Linked DNA regions of Pelodiscus sinensis. Each later gene encodes a partner of the first gene's protein in a complex. Links are inferred from orthologs where the notes say so. Each region holds a gene or a part of one and is shown on either strand. Other genes may lie near its edges.

Region 1 (7,832 bases):
AACTCCAGAGCCCACAGTGACTGCAGCAACAGCAGGAAAACTCCCTACACCCACACTGATGGCTGAATTGATCACAGTATTGCTCCCATTCTGAGTGGCTGCAGCAGCTGCAGCAACCGTGGGTCCTGCTGTGTGAATTGGTGGTCTCACCAGTGCTACAGTAGGCCCCGCACCTACAATGCTTGGTGACGGCTGTGAAGAGATTACTGTGGGGGATGGGGATGAGGTGGAGGACACAGCGGTGCTGAGGAAAGAAGTCTGGATGACAGTGTTAGAAGCTGAAGGCAAAACAGCATTAACTGTATTTCCTTTCCCCACAGATCCAGGTCCATTGTTAACTAGAGGGGCAACAGTAGGTGCAGCAGCAGGATTAGCAGTTGCAGGAGTCCCAGAGAAAGTAGCACTTCCCGAATGGTGAGAGTTCATCACCACATTACTCCCATTCAAAGTCTGCACCGTTGTGGTCCCAATTTTGCCATTCCTGGTGGATAAGGCAGTTGCCATTGTACTGATAACCACAGATTTGCCCTGACTGAGGGTCCCTGGAGCAGCAGCAGCTTCAGATCCGCCTCCTCCTGCTGCTGCAGCAGTGGTGGTGCTGGTTGTAGTGGCTCCATCCAGAGCTGAACTCTGGGACCTGGTGTTATGATTAATAACACCCCCTTGCACTCCTCCAGCCCCTGAAACAACAAGAAGAAGGTTCAATGGAGAGAATGTGCAGGAGGTGAAAACAAAAGGTAGAGGGAGTGTGTTTCTCCACCCTCCCAATTCTTCTTTACCCCCTCGCCCCCACGTCCTCCATACTGTCTGGAATGAGACAAGAAAAAAAATGGGCTGAAAATACAAATTATCTTTTTCTGGGTAGAGAGGTTACCATGAAGCCCTTCTATGCCCCATATTCACACCTGGCAGCAGTGATATTAGATATAGCCACCCCTTGAACCAACTATAACAAGAAAAAGAGGACAGACAGACATACAACAGGACAGATCTGGACAATAAAAGAGCTGGGATACATCTTTATCCTAAACTTTCTTCTCTCCCACATTTCAGGGCCTGACATTACGTTTAACAACTTCCTTTACATTCCAGTTAATGAATTTAGAGAAAAAATGTTTTAAAAGATGCGGAGGGAGGGGAAAAAAAGTCTTCCCTGTGCCCTCTACACCTTGCACACTTTACCCCCCAATTCTTTCATGTCCTGTAGAGGAACCTAGTAGTTCCATGCAGTTAAACTAGTACAATAATGTAAAAAATAGGGGATGAAAACTGTCAGTGTGACAAAGAAAAAGTTGCCAAAAGAGGACTTTGTTCACACCAGGGCCTGTGCTGTTGTAATTCTGCTCCTCAAGCTCCCACAATCAAAGACAAATATGGGGAGAAAACAGACTCAGGCACTGAGGACACTACAATGTGCCCTCCTACTCTAAGACCTCCTCATCCCATTTTAATGAGGTCTGGTATCACAATTAACACCAGACTTGGCAGTCCAGGTCCTGAATTAAGGAGAGAGAAATGAGAAGGGAGCTGTCACAGATAACCCTTATAATATGAGTGTCTCAATAGCTAAGAGGACCCTCCTGCAAAATCCTCATTACCGATCTGCTATTATTAATATAAGCATCCTCTTACATTTCAGCAACAAGAAGCAGAAAATAGTAGGGGGGGGACATAAAACAGATAGATACTGGGCAGATAAGAATATTTTTCTCTTTCCTAAAAACAACCTCCCACCCACTCTCATAAAGTGAGACTTAATATTGTGATTAACATCATCCTCTTAAAACAAAGCTCCTCCATCAAGCAGAAAACATTCACAGGTAACATATGGAGAAGCCCATCTGAGGAGGATAGGGATTGTGCCCTCAGTCGTCCCGTCCCCCCCATCCAAGGACCTTATGTTGCCATGACACCCCCTTGAGGGAGAACGAGGAATGAAATGTGTTGAATACCCCCTCCAAACTCCTAATACAAGAGGGGTTATGGGGAATACCCAGACAGATATGAGGGGGGAGGCATTTTAGGGGCTTCTTCCCCTTGAAATCCCTCCTCACTTCCTCCTATACAGGAAATGGGTGTCATGATTAATAACACCCCTTTGCACTTCAGCAACAGAGAAGGGGGAAGGGAAGGAGCACCCAAACAGAAATTGGAAGGCCCTATTAATTGGGAATCCCCCCAATAAAACCAATCAACATACACCAGCAACAGGGAAGGCAGAGGAATATTCAGACAAACTGAGGGAAAAATCATCATCAGAGGGGTAGTTTGCCCCCATTAGTTCCCCTCCTTGACTCCTCTGATTAATAGCACCCGTTTACCCTCCAGCAACAACAGGAGAAAAAGAAAAGGGACTGATAACCCATCAGTGTCTTGTTTATGGCTCTCTTAAGGGGGTGCAGTACCCCTATATAGCAAGAAACACCTCCTCTACACCCCAGGAACGAGGAGGAAGAGGGGCACAGTCAGACATATACTAAAGGGCCTGGTGTATGGGGGGGTATCTCCCCAATATGATTTATACCGCCCCTTGCACTCCAGCTCTTGCCACAACAACGAGGAGGAGAGAGGGAAAAGGGGGGAAAGCAGTAAGGGAGGGAGGCAGTCAGAGCTTGGGAGTGGGGGGAGGGGAGGCCCCTTTCCCAGAGAGCCCCCCACCCCGGCCCAGGTTACCTGCTTTTGTGATCTCTGGGGCACTGAGTCCCATCTTGCTGCTGCTGCTGCTCTCTGTTTGGACATTAGCATTGCCTCCTACTACTACTCCTCCAGGGCTAGGGCTAGGGCTGCTGCTGCTGCTACTGCTGCTCACAACATGGTTCCCCAGCAGCCCCCCAGCGGTCCTGAGGGGCTCCTGCGCCTTGTGGTGCTGGTGGTGATGGCCGGAGGCCGCCAGCTGGGACTCGAGGGAGCCCACCAGGTCGCTCACCACCTTCTCATCCACCTCCGTGTTCAGGAAAACCTCATCCAGCAGATCCGAGCCCGCCGCCATCTTTTTTTTGGAGGGTTCCTGTGAGCTGCTCCCTCCTCCCCCTTCCACTCCTCCCTCCCGCCCCCCCCACACACGCTGCCCTCTCACGGCGCAGGCGCACGGGAGCCGGCTCACATCACCGGCCGGAGAGGGATTCCGCTGGCTGGTGATTGGCCGCCAGCCGCCTATAAAAGCCCGGGCAAATGGCTGCGAAGGTTTAGTTGGGAGTCGGGCGGCGGCGGCCCGGACGCGAAGCTGCAGGAGCAGCGGGGGCTGAAGGTGGTGGGGGGGGGGGGGACGGTGGCGGCTGGACGGGGGGAGGGCAGGGCGGTGAGGCTGGTTCGTGCCGCGGGGCGAGACGAGGGGTGCGCGGGCGGGGGCGGGCGGCTCTTTGTCCGCCTGCGCTCAAGATGGCTGCATGTCTCCCTGCTGCTCGCTGCGTCTGGCCCGTGTCGCCAGAGCGAGTCTGAAGGGCGCCCCACACCTGTGCCAACTGCGTGTAACTGATCCACCGGGAAGGGGGGGGGGGGAGACGCGGCCGCAGGCCCCACGCCCAGCCTCGGGAGGGGGCTGAGCCCCCGGCCGGGCAGCCTTGTCTCCCGGGTTGGAAAGCGAGCTGCAGGGCGAGGAGCCGGCTGGCGGGGCTGTGCTGCGGCGCCCCACACAAGCAGCCACCCTCCCCCCGCCGCGTCCGGTGGCCCGCGGGCAGTGAGTGCCGCTGCTCCGCGGGGACTTCAAACGCCTTTCTCGGCTCGCGCCGAGCGGCTGCGGGAGCTCCCTGGGACAGAGCGAAGGAGGCTGCAGGGGGAAGATCCGGGAGGGGAAGGCGCCACTAATCTGTGTGCACGGCAAGGTGCTGTCGAGCTTCCCTGAACGTGAATTTAGGAAACTGACTCAGCGGTCTGGGGGTGGGCAGGCCCTGCCACCAGACAGGCTATAATAAATGAGCGCGGTGAATGCGTATACAAGGGGGAGGGGATTGGGGTGCTTGGATTAAAGTCCTGGGGAAAAAATGGGAGGTGGCTGAGCTGAAATGAAAGCTTAACAGAAAGGCGGGATGGAAGGAGGGAGGAGATTTTAGCCGAATATCTACTGCTAAACATCTTGTCCACGACTTCAGCCTTTCAGAGGAAATTAAAGCATTGAGTCCAGAACAGCTACAGTTTAACAGAGAATGGACTGTTGTATTCAAAATCACCGCCAGAGAAATGCATTCTTCTTAAATTCCATTTTGAACAGTACTACAGAGGTTAGTACCCATTTAGTTTGTAAAACCAAAGGTGCTTAGAGGAGACAGTAGTCTTTAGCAATACAAGTAATCTGCTTCTTGATCACTAATCTTACACAGATTCTAGATAGAAATTGAACTTGAACATTGTGTCATCTTAAGAAAGGAAGTTCAGGTATGGTAAAAATGCAGCCTGTCCTTTAATAGTGAAACTATTTACTAAGCACTACCTTCAAAGTCCAGAATAACATTAATTGCAAGATGAAAATTTCTTCTGCAGTGTACAGTGACTCTTATGCTACCACTAAGTAAAGGTCTACAGTAGGCAAGTTAAGGTTGTAACCACTTGTTTAAACGTTATAAATCTAAAATTATAAGTTTGCCTTACCTCTGTTTTGTTGGTCACTTGAGCTGGCTAGCACTTAATGTTGAAATGTTTGTTGCAGTAGGAGCAGACTAAGATCCTGTGTAGCTTGTTATCACTTAGCAGTGTGTGGCCCTTCAGGTCCTAATGAGTGTCACTGACAAGTCTCCATTTTTGCAGCCCAGAGTGATTCATTTCCTCCAAAGCTTCTTTACTTCAACTAGACTAGAGACAAAGTATTCTACTATACTTATTAGGGTATCTTTAGTTTCTGCATTCTACATCTGTTCTAATCCATGTAACCATCACTTCAGTTACATTGAGTCTTTCAAGCAATGTTGAGTTGTAAGAAGGAAAATAGTGCAGAAAACCTTGTGTATTTTAGTCACAAATGCCCCACCCTAAAAGTCAGCTGGTCAGTCTATAAAGTGGTAGTCAGCTATCCAAATTCATGTGAAGGGAAGACATTAGAAAATTGCCTTGCTCCTCAACACGTTTGCAGCTAATATTTTCCTTAAGAGGTATTGGATTCCTACGAATACATTGCTTTATGGTTATAAAGTCTTCCAAAATAAGAGATGCCAATTTTGCCCCATTCATAGATAGATCTCTCCATGCTGTGGTTTTTATTCTTCCCTCCAAAGCACCCCTATTAGCATTCTAATATCTTACACAATGTTTGAGTCGCTTTAGACATTGCAATATATTAATCCCTATGTCTGAATTCCCCTGGACAAACATGTCAATTAATTAGCCTTTATAATGAATAATATATTTTCTATCCTTGTTTTCAGTGATATAACCTATAACGTCACCTTGAAAGGAGTAAAGAAAGGACCTCTTTCTTCACAAATCTCCCAAGATCTATTTCTAATCCGTATCAATATTGAACAGAACAAATGTTGTGTCCTAAAAATAAGTGTTCTGAGGGCTTGTTGCTCAATTCCAGTAATGATGTGGCCAGAGAGCTTTCCTTTAAGTGCCTCTTCTACCAGCCAATGGCACCTTCTGCTGCTGCTGTAGGTAGGCATACCTCTATCATTACAAGCATTAATAATTTCCAATTCAGTTAACTAAAAAGACACAGGAAATCTTGAGTAGAGGTCCAAGTACATCCCTGAAGTGGGATAGAGGGTAGTTTACAGGTGCTGCCAGGATGGTTCCAAAGACTTAGAGCAGCAAAGGTAGCCAAAAGCTATTCTTTCTTCCCCTTTCCCTAGCTGGGAACAGCAGAGCCTCAGGTTGAGGACATAATGGAAAAGAGTGAAAGTGAACAATGGAAGGGAGAATGGGGGTAAGGGAGAAGAGGTTAAGTAAAGGCAGAATTAAAACAGCAAGAGGGAGTGATGGAATCACTAATTGGCAGTATTATGGGCAGGCAGCAACTAGGGAGGAGCAGATGACATCTTAAGGGCATGAAGAGTTAGCAGGACTCTACATTCTTCTGCTGATGATGACTTTAAGGTATTTAGCAGGGCTGGCCCAGAACATTTTGGCACCTTAGATGGGGAGCTCAAATGATGCCCCACATCCCCCTTGCTTAGGCCAAAATTTAAAAAGGTCTCTTGTGCCCTCCAGCACAGCACTCTACTGTCTCTGTGCATCTAGAGCAGAGAGAATACATATGCACCAGCAGCAGACACAGTTTTCTATGCTCTGGCTATGTCTACACTTGCAGCTTCTTGTGTGAGAAATAAGCAAATGAGGCTGCATGGAATACTGCTGAGCCATATTTGCATACCTAATGAGCTGACATTTTGCAGAAGAGGCTCTTGTGCCAGAAGGAGCTGTCTACACTACCCCTACTTGCACAAGAAAAACCCTCTTGCACAATGCTGTTATTCCTGAAAATGGTGCAATGGCATTGTGCAAGATGGTTTTTCTTGTGCAAGAAGGGGCAGTGTAGACAGCTCCTTCTGGTGCAAGAGCTTCTTCTGCAAAAATGGCAGCTCATTAGGTATACAAATGAGGCTCAGTGATATTCCATGATATTCCATGCTTAGCCTCATTTGCATATTTCTCATGCAAGAAGCTGAGTATAGACATAGCCTCTGGGTCCTAGTGGTGTGGGCTGCCCCCCCTCTTTCCCCCAGCACAGTCTGGCACCTGAAGTGACTGCCTCAGTTCACCTGATGGCAGGGCTGGTCCTGGCATTTAGAACCTAGTTTATGGTCACATGGGTCCAGATACATGAAAGATATGGTGCCCAAGTTTTTGACCCCACAAAATTAATGTCAAACCATGTAAGCACTTAAGTTTTCAAAGTAAAAGTTCCTTAGGCCTCTGTGTTGGTGTCTGTAGGCTTACACAGAGGTGTCTTCCTCTTGACATCTGTGTGCTTCTTTCCTCGCTAACCATTAAAAGGATTCATGAAGCAAGGGAAGATAAGCGTTTGCTTAGGGTGTTCACCAGGGCCTCAGTAGACATGCTCAGAGACTGTTAACCAGAATGGTTCCCATTCAAAAATCGAACCATAGGAGGAGGTACTGCTCATCTGAATATTTAGCCTAGTGATGTGTATTGGACCAGCTCTGGCAAAAAGGAGGGACTTGAACTAGGATGTCCAACAGCCTATGCAAGTGGTCTAACTACTAGGCTAAAAGTTAAAATGGGAAATGCATGTGTACACCCTCTCCAGCTATTATATGCAAAGTAAAGCTAGCACATAACTCCTCTGAAGAAGCAATTTATTTCAACCAACAGATTCTCATTTGAGGATTGCTAAGCAGATGCTTCTCCTGCAGCCTGGAATTAATGCCCTTCCCAGAGAGGAGCACACCCCCTCTCTGGTCAGCATCTCTCATTACCTAACTTAGGCAGTTCCTCAGTGGAATAGCTTTTGTGGATCTTGTTTTTAGGTGTCTGTGCACTCATTGTTGCTGGAACTAGAGGGGCAGAGGTGCTACAGCACCCTTTGGCTTTAAAAGGTTTCCATTACATGCAGGGTTTACTGTTTAGCTCAATGGTTCTCAACAACGCCATTATACAAATTGTTCCAGCCCTCCCTGTGTACCTAAAGCAGGAGTGAGGAACCTGTTTTGCATCAGGCGTCACTGACTCCCAGGCAAGTAGATTTTGTGTGCTCCAGCCCCATGGTGGGATATTGGGGGTAGGGGGAGAGTTGGAGTGTCAGCACAGGCTACCCACTGATGGGATGGGGCAAGCCTTGGGGGCTGGATCCCCACCCCTGATGTAGTCAGGTTTGTGGATAGCAGTATTAGTCATGTATTTTTTTCTAAGTGCCTAATAGGCACCATGATGCTCAGTATTGC
Region 2 (6,911 bases), on another chromosome or scaffold:
TGAAGAAACAATGCTCCCTTCCCCTCCATACATTCATCAAGAAAATATGCCCTGTTCCCAAGTCGCAGTAAATGCTTCACACCCCTTATGCAGCTGAAATAAGAAGGTAGATTACAGTGCCTCCAACTCCTAATTATATAGCCCTCCCCCGGCCTCACAAATCTCAAGGTGGCTATGGAAATATAGGCTAAGCCCTGGAAGGTAATTCTGTTTTCAAGCTTCTCAGCACTCTCACAGTGGCAACTCTGGTCCATGTGTAAAGATATTGTCCCCCATAATACATCTGCTTCACACCAAGTTCACATGGATCAGACTACTGACAATAAGTCCAACCCAACTTCAGGTGGGTAACTAAGTCCTCTCTTTTATTCCACAGTCGGATGCTCCCTGATCTCCTAGATTCTACCTTACAATTATTATACATGTTTATACAGCACCATTCATCTTAGCATTTATATGCGAAACTTAGAGGTATGATTGTGGCACTTGTAAAATCCCTGCATTGGTGATACATATGGGTACCACCCTATGCACTCTCGCTTCCCTTTCCCTCCTAAAAAAGAACCTAAAGTTTTTCTCATGACTATTGGTAGGCTCAGTCCAACCCCTGAAGGTAGCCAAAAAACATATGGTCCCAAGGCTCCTCTGTTTTTTTAATCTGAGAACTTTTGGTGGCAAACAAGAAAAACCCTCAGAGCATGACAATATCCACATACCCCCCCATCCTTCTGGGTTTACAGTTTATAGGGAGGTTGTCATCCCTGGCGTCTCAGCCCTCTAATCCCAATGGACCCTGGAGTCAAAGCAGCAGTGATGCCCCCACTCCTCAACTCCCATTAGCACTGTCAGCCCCCAAGTGACCATGGATCTTTACTCACCTCTGCAGACTCCACTACAACTGTGCCTCCCAGAAGCTCTCCCTGAGCTTACACTACAGTGACACTCCCAGAGCCCGAACTGACCCACCATTCCCCTTGACTCCCCATGTTCAGAGAGAGCAGTCATGTATGACAGCCATGCTTCCTCAGATCATATTCTGGAAGAGAATTGGCATGGCCATATATATCAAAGGAATAAAATGAAAAAAGTGAACACATTATTAAACTGACAAATCAGATTTAGTACAGAAGGTGGGGTGAGGGAGAGGGAAGGACGGAATAGCTATTTATGAGTCGATGAATGGTTAATCAGGGGTGATAAGTGAGGAAGCTATCTTTGTAATGGTTAAGGTAATTAGCATCTTTGTTAAGGTCCATCCCTCACCCTGCACTAACCTCGCATACACAGAACTCACCAGGGTGGTTGCTCTTGCCCAACCCCAATTCTCACAATGTCCTCAGCACTCAGCTGGCAGTGACAGCTTCAGCCTCGCTACACTCACAGAATGTGCAACAGTAGTCCCACTGTGTCTGGCTACCTCTACACTCACAGAGCAGGCAGTTACATCCCCGTCCCCACAACTCGCCCCGTACCCAACACTCACAGTGAAGCCACCAGCAGCCCTGGACCAGCAAGACCCCGTCCATGTTCTTCCCTGCAATCACTGAGCTTACAGTAGCAGACACCGCCCCCTCCATCCATGGCTCCCCCACTCCTGCACTCACAGAATGGGCAGTGGCAGCCCCAGCCCTCCGTCTCCATAGCTCCCCCACTCCTCCACTCACAGAATGGGCAGTGGCAGCCCCGGCCCCCGTCTCCATGGCTCCCCGTCTCCATGGCTCCCCCACTCCTGCACTCACAGAATGGGCAGTGGCAGCCCCAGCCCCCCATCTCCATGGCTCCCCCACTCCTGCACTCACAGTATGGGCAGTGGCAGCCCTGGCCCCCGTCTCCATGGCTCCCCCACTCACAGAGTGGGCAGTGGCAGCCCCGGCCCCCCATCTCCATGGCTCCCCCACTCCTGCACTCACAGAGTGGGCAGTGGCAGCCCCGGCCCCCGTCTCCATGGCTCCCCCACTCCTGCACTCACAGAATGGGCAGTGGCAGCCCCGGCCCCCCGTCTCCATGGCTCCCCCACTCCTGCACTCACAGAATGGGCAGTGGCAGCCCCGGCCCCCCGTCTCCATGGCTCCCCCACTCCTGCACTCACAGAATGGGCAGTGGCAGCCCTGGCCCCCGTCTCCATGGCTCCCCCACTCACAGAGTGGGCAGTGGCAGCCCCGGCCCCCCATCTCCATGGCTCCCCCACTCCTGCACTCACAGAGTGGGCAGTGGCAGCCCCGGCCCCCCATCTCCATGGCTCCCCCACTCCTGCACTCACAGAGTGAGCAGTGGCAGCCCCGGCCCCCCATCTCCATGGCTCCCCCACTCCTGCACTCACAGAGCGGGCAGTGGCAGTCCCGGCCCCCCATCTCCATGGCTCCCCCACTCCTGCACTCACAGAATGGGCAGTGGCAGCCCCGGCCCCCGTCTCCATGGCTCCCCCACTCCTGCACTCACAGAGTGGGCAGTGGCAGCCCCGGCCCCCGTCTCCATGGCTCCCCCACTCCTGCACTCACAGAACGGGCAGTGGCAGCCCCGGCCCCCATCTCCATGGCTCCCCCACTCCTGCACTCACAGAACGGGCAGTGGCAGCCCTGGCCCCCGTCTCCATGGCTCCCATCCCCTCTGCTGTGGCAGGGTCAGGCTGCCCCGGCAGGGGAGGCCCCGCCCCGCACTGACTCAGCCCCCCGCTCCCCTCCCCCGCAATGCCAGAGGCGGCCCCCGGCCCGGCACTCACAGAGCTCGCAGTAGCGGTGGCAGCCCCGGCCCAGCCCCTGCAGGTAGCGCTGCAGCACGTCGGTGAGGAGGTCGCAGGCCGAGATCTGCACCGAGTCCCAGCCCAGCGCCTGGCAGACCTGAGCCACCGACACCCGCAGCAGACACCGCGAGTAGCTCTCGCACATCCCGGCCGGCTCAGCGCGGCCCGGGCCCGGAGCCCGCCATGGCCCCCCTCACGCGCAGGCCCTGGCGCCCGCTGCCGCCAACGCCGCCATCTTGGGGTCGCGCCTCCCGGCCGGCCGGGAGCAGGCAGGCCGCGCCGCTCCACCCCCGAGCGCGTCGATGGGGCGGGCGGCCGATCGATTGCTCTGGCCTCCAGCGGGGCCGAGCCGGCCTGGCTGTGCAGGCGGGGCGGGGGGATCGCTCAGCTGGTAGACAGAGACCCAGGGAGAGTAGGGGAAGGCGCAGGGGGAAAACGGGCGCACGGGAAAGTATTAGGGGGAGGGGAATTAACAGCCTGAGACTCAACTGGGAAAATACCAGCTGCTACCTTTGTTGGAAGAGGTGGGTTGTGCGTGCCCACGAAAGCTCATGCTACCATCCACGTGTTTTGATAGTCTTTAAGGGGCTGCAAGACTAGTTGTTACTGGAAAAACTTCAACTACAGAGTAACTCGGCTACCCTTCTGTACCTCTATGGGTAGAGCCCTGCCCGGCTACACCATTGGTACCTGCATCTGCAAACAGTACCAGGGGATATAAAGTGGATATCCTCAAATTTGCAGGGTCCTACAAACAAAACTGGGTGTCCGCCTCCCTATCTGCAAAAGTGAGCCGCAAGTATCTTCGTCCAGATTTGCAGTGCTCTGTTTGGTAAGGATCAGACAGTGACAGGGGAGTGAAGAGGGACCTGCAGCCCTGCTAGAAACTGATGCAAACTAGAGAAGACAATGCACAGAGAAACTTTGTGCAAGTTTGTGGTAAGAGAAGCCTGCAGAAGAGGGATGTTAGTCAGTGCAGTATCAGCATGGTATGAGGAGCTGTAGTAGCAATCCTAAGGGTTAAAAAGTCTTTAGTCTGGACCCCAAAAGCATGGCCTTTTTTTAAAAGGGAGGCATTTGGGGTTTGTTTATATTTGTCTTATGGGCAATAGAGCAAGTGGTTTAATTTTTCTGCTACCCCCTCCCTTCAAACATATGAAACACTTTGATTAAGAAATGCTGTTGTTGTGTCTGAGGGGGTTACAGATCAGATGCTTTGCAATCCCAGTCTCTTTGGGGCTCATGCATCAGGGTACATCTCCTATGATCTCTTGGAAAGAGGTGGCCTAGGAAATGTTCAGATGCAGAGCCTGGCCTATGGAGAAGGGGAGCACAGGGAACTTGAACTATAATTTTTGTAAGGCAGACTGTAGGCATTTCAGAATAAAAATACTATTTTTATTTTAAAAAACTTAAAAATTCTTTGGAAAGCATATGCATTTTCAGAAAAAAATAGTTTGTCAAATCCAACTTTTCCTGAAAAAAAGATTTGACTTCCCTCCCCTTCATTCAGCACTCAGTGGGGTTCTCTGTTATGTCCCTTCTCTCCTTCCTTTAATTTTTTCCCCTTTCAGATTAAGCCCTCTGGTCATTTTTATTACTATTCTTTGAATGCTCCCCCCGTTTGACAATACAGTAAAAGCTCTGTTATCAGCATACTGGTGGAATGGAGGGTGCTGGTTAATTGAATATTCTGTTTAACAAACAGTTCTATTTTATCTATGGAATACCACTTTTCAAAGAACTAGAAAACAATAAAATGAATAAAGTATAATAGTATTCAGGTACTCACCAAGCCTGATGTATTGCACTGCAGAGTGGTTGGTTCCTTGAAGCACTTAGGTGTATGCAGGGAAAGTTATTTTGTGTCACTACACGACAATTGGCAGGTCATGACATACATCCCAGTTCATTAAAAATACACTTAATATAAAACTCTACAAAATGTAATTTAATCTTCAATGATTCAGCAGGCACTTCAGGATCTTGTAGTGCCTCAGGGTCATCAATATCAATTATCATTGTAGATGTTTGTAGAAAGTGTAGGAGATTGAGCTGAACTGGTAATGACATGCCCTAGAAACTGCATCAGCTTACTTATTTGTCTTCTGCCTTTTTTGGCATAAAAGTAGAGTGTAGAATATGCGGTTGCATAATGTGCTGGGCGTGGCCATATACTAGTCTGTTACTAGACTGAATATTTTTGTTAGCAGATATTAGAAATGCCAGTTGAGCTTTCCAGTTAATTAAGTGGCATATAACAGAATATTTACTGTATTATGGTTGTGGTGTGCTTTCTGGAATGTAATGCGAGATTAACAGGTAACCAAAGATATGCGGTACTCTGTAACTGAGTATATAGTTTAAAATTGCACCAGCCTTCTTTGCAGCAAAGCCCCATGCTCAATTTGAAGGCCTGGGGCCTTTATGTGGTACATAAGAGTTAGGGGCCAAAATAAAGAATACATTTTAGATCAAATATTGGGAAGATGCAGTGACAGATGTGCTAGGCTTGACTCAACTTTCACCAAAGTGGTAGGAGCCCCATTATATGCTGAAATCTGGAAAGGGTTTTGTAGAAAAGCCCATTTTCTCCCCATTCCTTTATAAATTCACTCTATTTCTGACATGTGTGCCTTTTCTGAAAGGGAGGGTCTGGTGTCTCTTGAAGTGAGGAGAGGGCTACTTGTAACAGTCTCTCTCTATTGTTTTTTAGTCTTCTATTCTTCTCCTGGATACTTTATAACTTTTAGTTTCTCTTCCATGCTACAGTAACAGTCATCTTTGCAGCAGATCCCCATCCACTCTGCTTTTCTGCCAGCACTTCTGTCTAACCCAGGAAGTGGCCTTTCCTCCAAAATATCAAACTCAAGAAGCAATCCCAGACCCTGGCCTTAGGCAACTTCTCACTAAGTTCCTTGTACTTCAAAACCTTCCCATTTCTGTGCATGTTGCTGATCTCCATCTACAGAGGGTGCACAGTGAATTGCATGTAGAGCAAACAGTTATTCAGGATGGCATTTGACTAGGACATGGGTTCTACACTACAAAATTAAGCTGACCTTTGTTACATCCACATATAGCCACCAAGTAATTAAAGTGGTTTTACACATCCACCCCTACATTGCGTGCATCTTCAGCTTGAGTCCTTGCACTCATTTAACTGCCACTGTGGAGCATTGAGGGATGGTTTCTGAAAGGCAGCACTAGTCAATGTGAGTGACACAGTGTCTGTACAGTCACTGGGTTGACCCAACACTCCTGGGGTAATTCTGCACCAAACATTTTAAAATTCTGTAAATTCTCAGAGCATTCTACAGTTAAACATCAGTGAGGACTCTTTCATTTTCCTTATTTGTTGACCAAGGGCAGTTTGTCTACCAAAGTTTTGAGTCAGCAGGATGTGTGGTTAGGGGAAATAGAATGGGCCAGGTTAGAATCCTAGGCAATCCAACTGAATACATTAACTGAGAATGGATTGCAAGGACCAACCTAATACCAGACCAGTGACTACTTCCATTTTTCATCTTACTAAGGTGTAACTTTGTAGGCACTTTCTAGAGAAAATAGAGTGGAAATTTTTGATCACTAGGTTTGAGTAAAACAACCTTCAGAACAGCAAAAGACATTTGATCATGTCACAACCTTGCAGAATAATTAAGATTCTTAAAGTTAATTATTGTATATGTTTGTAATAAATGTAGTGCAATAGAATCGTTACAAACAAGCAAAACATTGGTTTTAGTTTCCTTATAAATTCCTGCACTGGAACAGGTAGGATAGTGGCAACATTTTCATATTAAGATTTGTGGAGTCAAAAAATCTCTTCCTACCCATAAACCCTACTGTATTTGAAAAAAGACAGGATAGGTGATGCTCTAATATCTATCAGAATACTCCTGAAATTGATTTCCAACCATTTAAGCAGCTGCACCTGCCCCCTTCATCCAAGTGCAGCAAATGATTTCTAAACTCTTCTTTTAGATTGTAGTTTGAAAGTATTTACATCTAAACTAACTTATGTCAGGGGCAAGGAACAGGCAATTAGCTAGTGGTTTTAGGGAGGGAAAAAAAAGAAAGGAGCTAACTATTCATGAGTAAAGTTACACTTGAGTGTAAATGGATTGAGGACTTAGACTGTAAGCCCATTGGGTTAGGGACTCCTCACCTC
Region 3 (7,532 bases), on another chromosome or scaffold:
GCCGACAGTGGCCAATACTAGTTGCCCCAGAGGGAGAGAACATGATCCCTTTCTGTGTCCCATTTCCAGAGGTAGTACTTAGAAAGCAGATGAAATTAAACAGAACAGTACATAAAACTCCTCTACCCCAGAAGAGGAATTACATAGTTCTGTTAAAAATGGAATTCAGGAATCCTTGGCTAAGGACCACAAGATGAATCTTCTATTACAATAGAAATGGAATCTAAAGTCCACGCAGAGCATGCAGGACACTGTTTCCCTTTACAAGTACCATATAGAAATGTTTTACACAGTGTTGAATAGACTAGATTATCAACCTTGGAAGGATGAAGGGTTAGTGACCACCAGAATGCAAATTAGATATTTAACCAGACAGGCACGAGACGACCTTTATTAATGGTTTAAACTTCATTACTTTTTTATTTTGCTTTTTAAGGGAAATAAACCAACCCTACTTTTGGGTTCTTTAAAAAACTAACTCAGTCCCTTCCACTGGAAGGACTTTCCTAACCATTGTCCAATTAGGAGTTCTTTTTAAATGGACTGATCTCTATAGTCATTACAGTCTAGAAACAAAGTAAGCAGATGTCTTAATAGAACCTACCATCTCTGTGATAAACTCTATCACCAGGTCTTCAAGAATATCCACTGACTCTGTGTAGGGATTCTGGTCATCTCCAAACCCATACATCATACATCTTACTGGGGAAACAGAAAACATGGTATCATTGAAAGAGCTCCCCATTATACAGGACACTTAGCAACATGCACTAAATTCTTCAACCAAACTAAGGGCTCATCTCCATCACATCAATCGATCCACTGGCAGTCATTATCGCATCTGCTTTGCCTTGGACCCAATAAATGGACTTCAGAAAGCTCTCCCATCCACTCCAGTGTAAGACTCTCACAGAACTCCTGTGGTCTGTCACTTTTACTGTCTTATTGTGATTTACAGTCATATCCTCATTTAAAATAGACTATAACCTCCATAGAAGCGAAGCCAAATGCAGTTGTCCGAGAGCCTAAGGTGAGGGTCCACCTCCTTACTGACCCAGACACATGGATGGCAAACTCACACTCTTTGGAGAACAGCCTCTTCCTCTTGCCCTGTCCACCATCTGGGCCTCCTCCAGCTTCTTCAGTGTCCTCTTCAAACTAGGGTGGTGCAGAATACCAGAGAGGGAACTCAGACATATAAGCATAGCTGACAAGCCCAATTAGTGACACAGCCAAGCCTAAGCCCAGCTCCCTATATTTCAATCTCCCCACAGGGATCTCCCACTCCACTCCATACCCCCAATGTGACTGTGGGGAATATGTCTGTGCCTAATTATGGATTCCATTTCAGTGTGTAAACTATTTGTACTTAAGCCCTGAAGAAGAGCTCTCCATGAAACTCAAAAGCTTGTACCTGGCCCAGAGAAAGCTGATACAAGAAAAAGTATTTCCAGTGTTGCCAACTCCTAAATTATGTCATAAATATCATGCAGTTTCAGACTTGCACATTGCTATTCTCTGGCCAAAAAAAACCAAACAAACAAACAAAAAAAACCTTCAAAAACAGACTGCAATTAATTCCCAAATTTGACATCCTGAACCAAGCCCTAAATAAACACATGGACGACGTCTACACTGGCATGATTTTCCAGAAATGCTTTTAACAGAAAAGTTTTCCGTTAAAGGCATTTTTGGAAAAGCGCGTCTAGATTTGCGGAAAAGCGTCCTGCCAATCTAGACGCGCTTTTCTGCAAAAAAAGCCCCAATGGCCATTTTCGCGATCGGGGCTTTTTTGCGGAAAATAGTACCGTGCTGTCTACACTGGCCCTTTTGCGCAAAAGTTTTTCTGAAAAAGACTTTTGCCCAAACGGGAGCAGCATAGTATTTCCGCAAAAGCACTGACAATCTTACATGAGATCATCAGTGTTTTTGCAGAAATTCAAGCAGCCAGAGATCATCAGTGCTTTTGCAGAAATTCAAGCAGCCAGTGTAGACAGCTGGCAAGTTTTTCCGGAAAAGCGATTGCTTTTCCGGAAAAAGTGGCCAGTTTAGACACAGCCATGGAGAAAGAATGTTAAAATGTGTTTTCTTTTGTAAACGTGTAACCTTTGACATTTTCAGCAGTTACATGTTTACACAGGGAGCTGGGAAGGAGGGAAGTAGCCAGCACCCTGCAAGCACTGCCTCCCACCCGCCCCAACTTCTGCTGCTGCCTCTGAGCAGCTGGCAGTTGACTTTAAGCCTTGTACACCCCTTGCAGGACAGGGCGGGAGGAGGCTTTGTGCACGCACTCCCCCCCCCCCAACTAACTTGGAGGAAAGGGGGAGGGGGGAGTGCACAGTCTCCTCCAACCACCAGGTGGTGGGCTCCTAAAGGGAACCACCAACTGTTCTGAACAGTTGATGATTGGGGATGGGGGGCTCTGGGGACAAAGACTTCACCCCCCCCCCCCCCAACACAACAATCAGGGTGTGTGTCCAGGGAAGCAGGGAAGTGTCCTGGCCCCGCCCCTTGCACCAGAGGCTCCGCCCCTTTCAGGGCAGCCCAAGGCCAATTCAAACATTTCTGAAGCGGCTCCAGGTCAAAAACTGTTGCCGGGCCTGTGCCGCAGGGCGCCCCCCCCCCACAGCGCGTTGTTCCTCCAGTAGCCCTGGCAGCTCAGCGGGGCTGCCTGCAGGCGCGAGGCAGGAGGCGCGAGGCGGCTCGGGGCCTGCCCTGCCTGGGCCGCTGCTGCAGCCCCTGCGCGTGGAGGGAAACGCTGGGGGAGGGGCTGAGGCCGGAAGGGACCACAGCACCAAAAGGGGGGGGGGGAACGGGAGGCTGAGACTTTTCCCCTGGCAGGAAGGGGTTGGGGCACAGGGGTTCCCCCCCCCCGCCGGGGGCTGGCAGCTGCACTCACCGGCGGGTCCTCCTCCTCGTCGGCCATGCTCGCAGCGGCACCTCGCTCCCCAAGCCCCGCCCACCTCAGCCTGAGCTGTGGGCGCCGCCATCTTGTTGTACGGCACCAGACTCGCCCCCGCCCGCTGCTTCCAACACCCCGCCCCGCTCGCCCGACTGGGTGCTGGTCTCTGCGGCCGCGGCGGGCAGGTGTGCGCAGCGCGTGGCGGTGCCTGTCCCCCCTGCAGCAGGGAGTGGGGGTGCAGCGGGGGGGGGGGGGAGGAGGGATGTGGGGGAACAGCTGTGAGGAGGGGGGGCTTACCTGGGGCACCCCCCCCTAGCAGCAGCTCCCCAAGGGGGGGGGGGGCGTTATCTCAGCTGGCTGCTGCCCGCAGGCACTTCCCCTGCAGCTCCTCCGGGCTGCGCTGGGAGACACACACATCCCCCCCGCTTCCCCTGCCCAGGAGCCAGAGCGACTTGCCTGCAGCTGGGTGGAGCGAGCTGGCCTCAGGAAACTGCTCTCGCTCCGCTGTGATACTTATGGGGGGGGGGGGATCCGCAGGGGGGCAAGCGGGGCTGGGGGAGAGAGCCTTCCTGGCTAGGAATATCCCTGCAGCCCGGGCACCGCAGGCCCGTACAACGGGCAGGGATTTGGGAGAGGGGCTGCTGGGGAACCTCTGTGGCCCAGGCAGGAGGGAGTAGGACCCAGCCCCCTAATGCGCCTGGTGTTTAGTGGTGGGGAGGGGGATAACTCCCATCCTCTGGGCAGTCTTCCCTGTAAGCTGGGTGGCTGCCCAGTAAAGATTCAAACGCTGCCCAGCTGACTAGCAGAGCACCCACAGCTGGCAGCGTGTGTTTTTATGGGCGGTGCACATCTTTACAATGACTTGGTGTACATAACAACATTAATTCTGCACTGGTGGAACAAAATAGAGGGAACATTGCCTCTGGGGAATGCAGCCCTCTGTTGCACTGAGGAAAGCTTGTACCTACATTTGCATCTGATTATTAATTAAGCCTCAGTGGAAGTTGCAGATACCACCAAACCTCATCTATCATAGGTGTTTGCTGACCCAAGAATGCCACAGTAAACAAAAACATTGCTCTTTAAAAGGGCCAAACCATATATTGTAAAAGTTTTAAAAGCACAAGGAAAAGCAGGTAAACACTTTTTATCCCAACCTCAAGAAGGAAAGAAGATAGTGTCAAAGTCAGACAGGACTCACAGATTTGGCAGACTGCTCTGTTTATTTCAGCAAAGCTTTGCTAAAATGCATGGAGAAAATGTGAGTGCCATACAAGGTTCAAACCTCTTGATTTATACAGTCAAAAGAAAGCCAAAATTAACAGGATTAAAAGGGGGGCAAAACTTCACATAATTAGTGTGAGGCTACTCAAGTACTCTTCATTTCAATATTAAGCACACAGCAATCTCCTGGCTATATCTCCCTGATTATCTGGAATTGTTTCCTGTCTAACACCTAATGTTTCTTTTCCTGTTAAACTCAGGCCCAAATTGGCTAGCACCTTGATCTGCATACCTACAATCAACATTAACATACTTTTCTTCTTCCTCTTAAAAAGACAAACAGAATTCCTTCAACTTATTCAATTATTACAGCACAATTCATATTTTTCTTACAGTATAATTCTTTCTACTTTCACAATAGAAAAGTACCCCACAAACACAAGGTTACACAAAATACAATAATTACACAGTCCAGTAGTTGACAGTGGGTGAGAAGCTCCTGTCTCTCAAACCTTTGATAATTTAAAGCCTCTGGTGAAAGACGAGGAGATCCCTCGCAGTGGTGACCCTCTACGATGCTCTCGACCTCAAGCCTTAGGCTCCTTCCGAGCCCTCAGTGAGGAACAGAGAGGCGATCCCTCGGAGACCCTGGGGATGGGTGTGGTGCAGGCAGGTGGTGATGATCCTTGTCTGGGGCCTTGCGCTCCTAGATGCAGGAATCACTGGTGGAGACTTGCCTGGTGCTGATCTTCAGGTGGCTTCTGCGCTTCAGCAGGAACCGATGATAGACAGCTACCTATCCCTAACACCTGGAAACAAAACCTGACTAGCTAACACGACGCTCCCGTCACGGACAAGTACCCGGCCGCTGGTGCAGTGAACCAACGCACTAATCCTAACGGACACACTCGATAAAATCTAGCTAACCCTAACTAACTATAGACTGACATAAACAGACAGGAGACAAGCAGGAACAAGGGAGGCGCGAACGAACACACACAACTGTTAGCCAGGCCTTCAAAGCACCCTTCTCATAAATATTCATGATCTTTATCTTTAAAATCATTGGACCCTGCACAGGAAAACAAGGGTCCCTGATTGGGTGCTTTGATAAACAAGTTGTAACAGCCTGGATCAGTGTGCTGCATGCAGCAGCACAGTGTGACATGTGCAGCTACTTGCGTGCCATGTGCAACACTCCTAGAAACTTCTATATTAACATGCCTAACAGCTACTACATATTCATAGCAAATCATACATATTAATGATTGCTTATACGTATTAATGAGGTGTCAAAAATGAGCTGGCTACACCTCTGCCCTGCAGACTGACTCCTTCAGTGGCGCTCAGAGGTTGTAAAGGGGGTGCCATATAAATGTCCCCTGGAATCTTCCCACCCCAAAACGGAGCTGTTCTTGGGTCGTGAGGGGTTCTGTCATGGACAGCCTCAGCTCTAGGGAAGAACCCTTCCCTTCTAGGGGCTCTCATGGGCATAGCACTTCAGCTGGGGGGATGGATTTGATACCCCAGAACTTTTCTTCTGCTCTCCGTAAAGGGGAGTGGGTGAAGGAGACCAAACTTTTAAAGCCATGTTTTACAGATGCTGCCACTCTATTGTAATGAAGCTATTGCATTATGTTCTGGTTCCTATCTGGTCCCGTGCTGGAGAGCTGAATGCTTTTAATGGGATGCCTGTTCTCCTGGGGCTGGGTACTTTATTTTTGCTGGTGCAATTACACAGGTGTTTCTTTGGCTGGTTAAAGAATGCTGTGAATTGTGTCCTTTGCTGCACATTTGGCGGTAGAAAGAGAGCAGGTGCCTCCTGAGGAGTATCAGGGACCAAGCCCAGATTAAGTCTCCTGAGAGGCCCCTAGGCTCTGGGGAGGGGCTAAAAATGAGGGGCTCAGCATGGGGGAGGGGTCAGGACTCTGAATGTGGTTTTGGGCTCAGGTAGAGCTGAGGATGAGGCTTTTGGGGTGTAGTAGCGGGCTCCAAGCTAGGGCTAAGTGGTTTGGAATGCAGGAGGGGGCTCAGAGCAAGCGGTAGGGGTACAGGATCTATAAGGGAGTTAGGGTATAGGAAGGGGCTCAGGTCTGGGGCAGGTGAATTGGGGTGTGGGGCACCTTCCTGGGCCTGTTCCCCTTTGGAAGTGCATACCCTGAAGATGGGAGGGGGCAGGTGGCTCTGCATGCTGCCCTGCAATTCCTCTCCAATGGAAGTTTGAGCGGCAGAGCCTGCAGATGAGGGAAGCACACAGATGGAGCTATCTGGCATTTACAACTCCAGCCCAGAGAGAACAGGAGGAAGAAAGGCAGCGTGCAGAGCTACATCCACTGTCCCAACCCGCATCCCCTGCCAGGCAGGGATAGAACACGGGCTTTTAGTGGCTGTAGCCCAGGCCAAGATGACCCTGCAAAAAGATCTGCATTTGTGGCAGCCTGGAGATCTTTTTGCAAGGCCCCCTTAACCCAGGGCTGCAGCCCCTAAAGCCTCTTTCTTAATTCAGCCTTTTTGGAGACAAGAACTTTTCTTCTCTACCAGGAAATAGGGGATTGTGGGGTGAAATCTGGTTTTAGGAATGGTCCCCCACTTAAAAATTTTTAAAAATGGGTATGTTTTTATTGAAGGAAAGGACCAAGGGATGTGTGAGGTTTGGGGGAGAAAGGGTCTTGATAAAGGGTGGATGTGATGGGCCATGTTTCTGTCAGTCTGTAAAAAGATTTAAACAAACCAAAACTGGGCTCAGTCAGAGAGTCATTTTCGCAAGCCCAAACTGAAGAATCTCAGAGATGGAGACCAATTCATATGGGGGACTTATTTAGCACCCACTATGCTGTTGTTTCCTCCATTCCTATTTCTGGATTAGGTTCATTCTCCCAACTGGGTACTCCATTAGCTGTTCTGTCTGACCTGTAAAATCAGTATTTTCTGTTTTCCTTTTGTAGGTTTCTTGGCTGACAGTGCTTTGTCTTGCAGCTTAAACAAGATGAAACAGAGCTCATCTTCCAGTGGTGAGGCCTCCCTGTTTCCCCTTAGAGTTCAGGACACAAGCAGAACCAGCTTACATATACCTCAAGCAATGTATGTGCTACTAATCACAAAGTACACTTATGCTGATGTAACTGAGAGGAGGAAGGTTGTGGTTATTTCTTGTGGCCTTGGTGTGAAGAGATTCATTGTTATGATGAATGGATTTGTAAAGAACAAATAATGTCAAACCAATCTGATAGCTTTCTTTGATAGGATAATGAGTCTTGTGGATAAGGGAGAAGCGTGGATGTGGTATACCTAGACTTTAGTAAGGTAAAGTTTGATATGGTCTCGCATGATAGTCTTATCAATAAACTAGGCAAATACAACTTAGATGGGGCTACTATAAGGAGGGTGCATAACTGGCTGGATAACC

The links. The genes of interacting proteins can lie anywhere in the genome.
Region 2: TAF4 (region 1) and TAF3 share a complex: the UniProt entries of both Homo sapiens proteins name them as parts of the TFIID basal transcription factor complex. The link is inferred for Pelodiscus sinensis from reciprocal best matches to the Homo sapiens genes TAF4 and TAF3.
Region 3: TAF4 (region 1) and TAF13 share a complex: the UniProt entries of both Homo sapiens proteins name them as parts of the TFIID basal transcription factor complex. The link is inferred for Pelodiscus sinensis from reciprocal best matches to the Homo sapiens genes TAF4 and TAF13.

What each region holds. Positions count from the first base shown.
Region 1 is NC_134728.1:9,457,288-9,465,119, reverse strand, and holds the start of TAF4 (transcription initiation factor TFIID subunit 4), read right to left. Parts: upstream 3,015-7,832; 5' UTR 2,990-3,014; coding exon 2,674-2,989; intron 681-2,673; coding exon 1-680. UniProt on the Homo sapiens protein: The TFIID basal transcription factor complex plays a major role in the initiation of RNA polymerase II (Pol II)-dependent transcription.
Region 2 is NC_134711.1:9,754,364-9,761,274, reverse strand, and holds the start of TAF3 (transcription initiation factor TFIID subunit 3), read right to left. Parts: upstream 3,010-6,911; 5' UTR 2,886-3,009; coding exon 2,720-2,885; intron 1-2,719. UniProt on the Homo sapiens protein: The TFIID basal transcription factor complex plays a major role in the initiation of RNA polymerase II (Pol II)-dependent transcription.
Region 3 is NC_134711.1:148,145,171-148,152,702, forward strand, and holds the start of TAF13 (transcription initiation factor TFIID subunit 13), read right to left. Parts: upstream 3,010-7,532; 5' UTR 2,927-3,009; coding exon 2,900-2,926; intron 1,159-2,899; coding exon 1,080-1,158; intron 703-1,079; coding exon 605-702; intron 1-604. UniProt on the Homo sapiens protein: The TFIID basal transcription factor complex plays a major role in the initiation of RNA polymerase II (Pol II)-dependent transcription.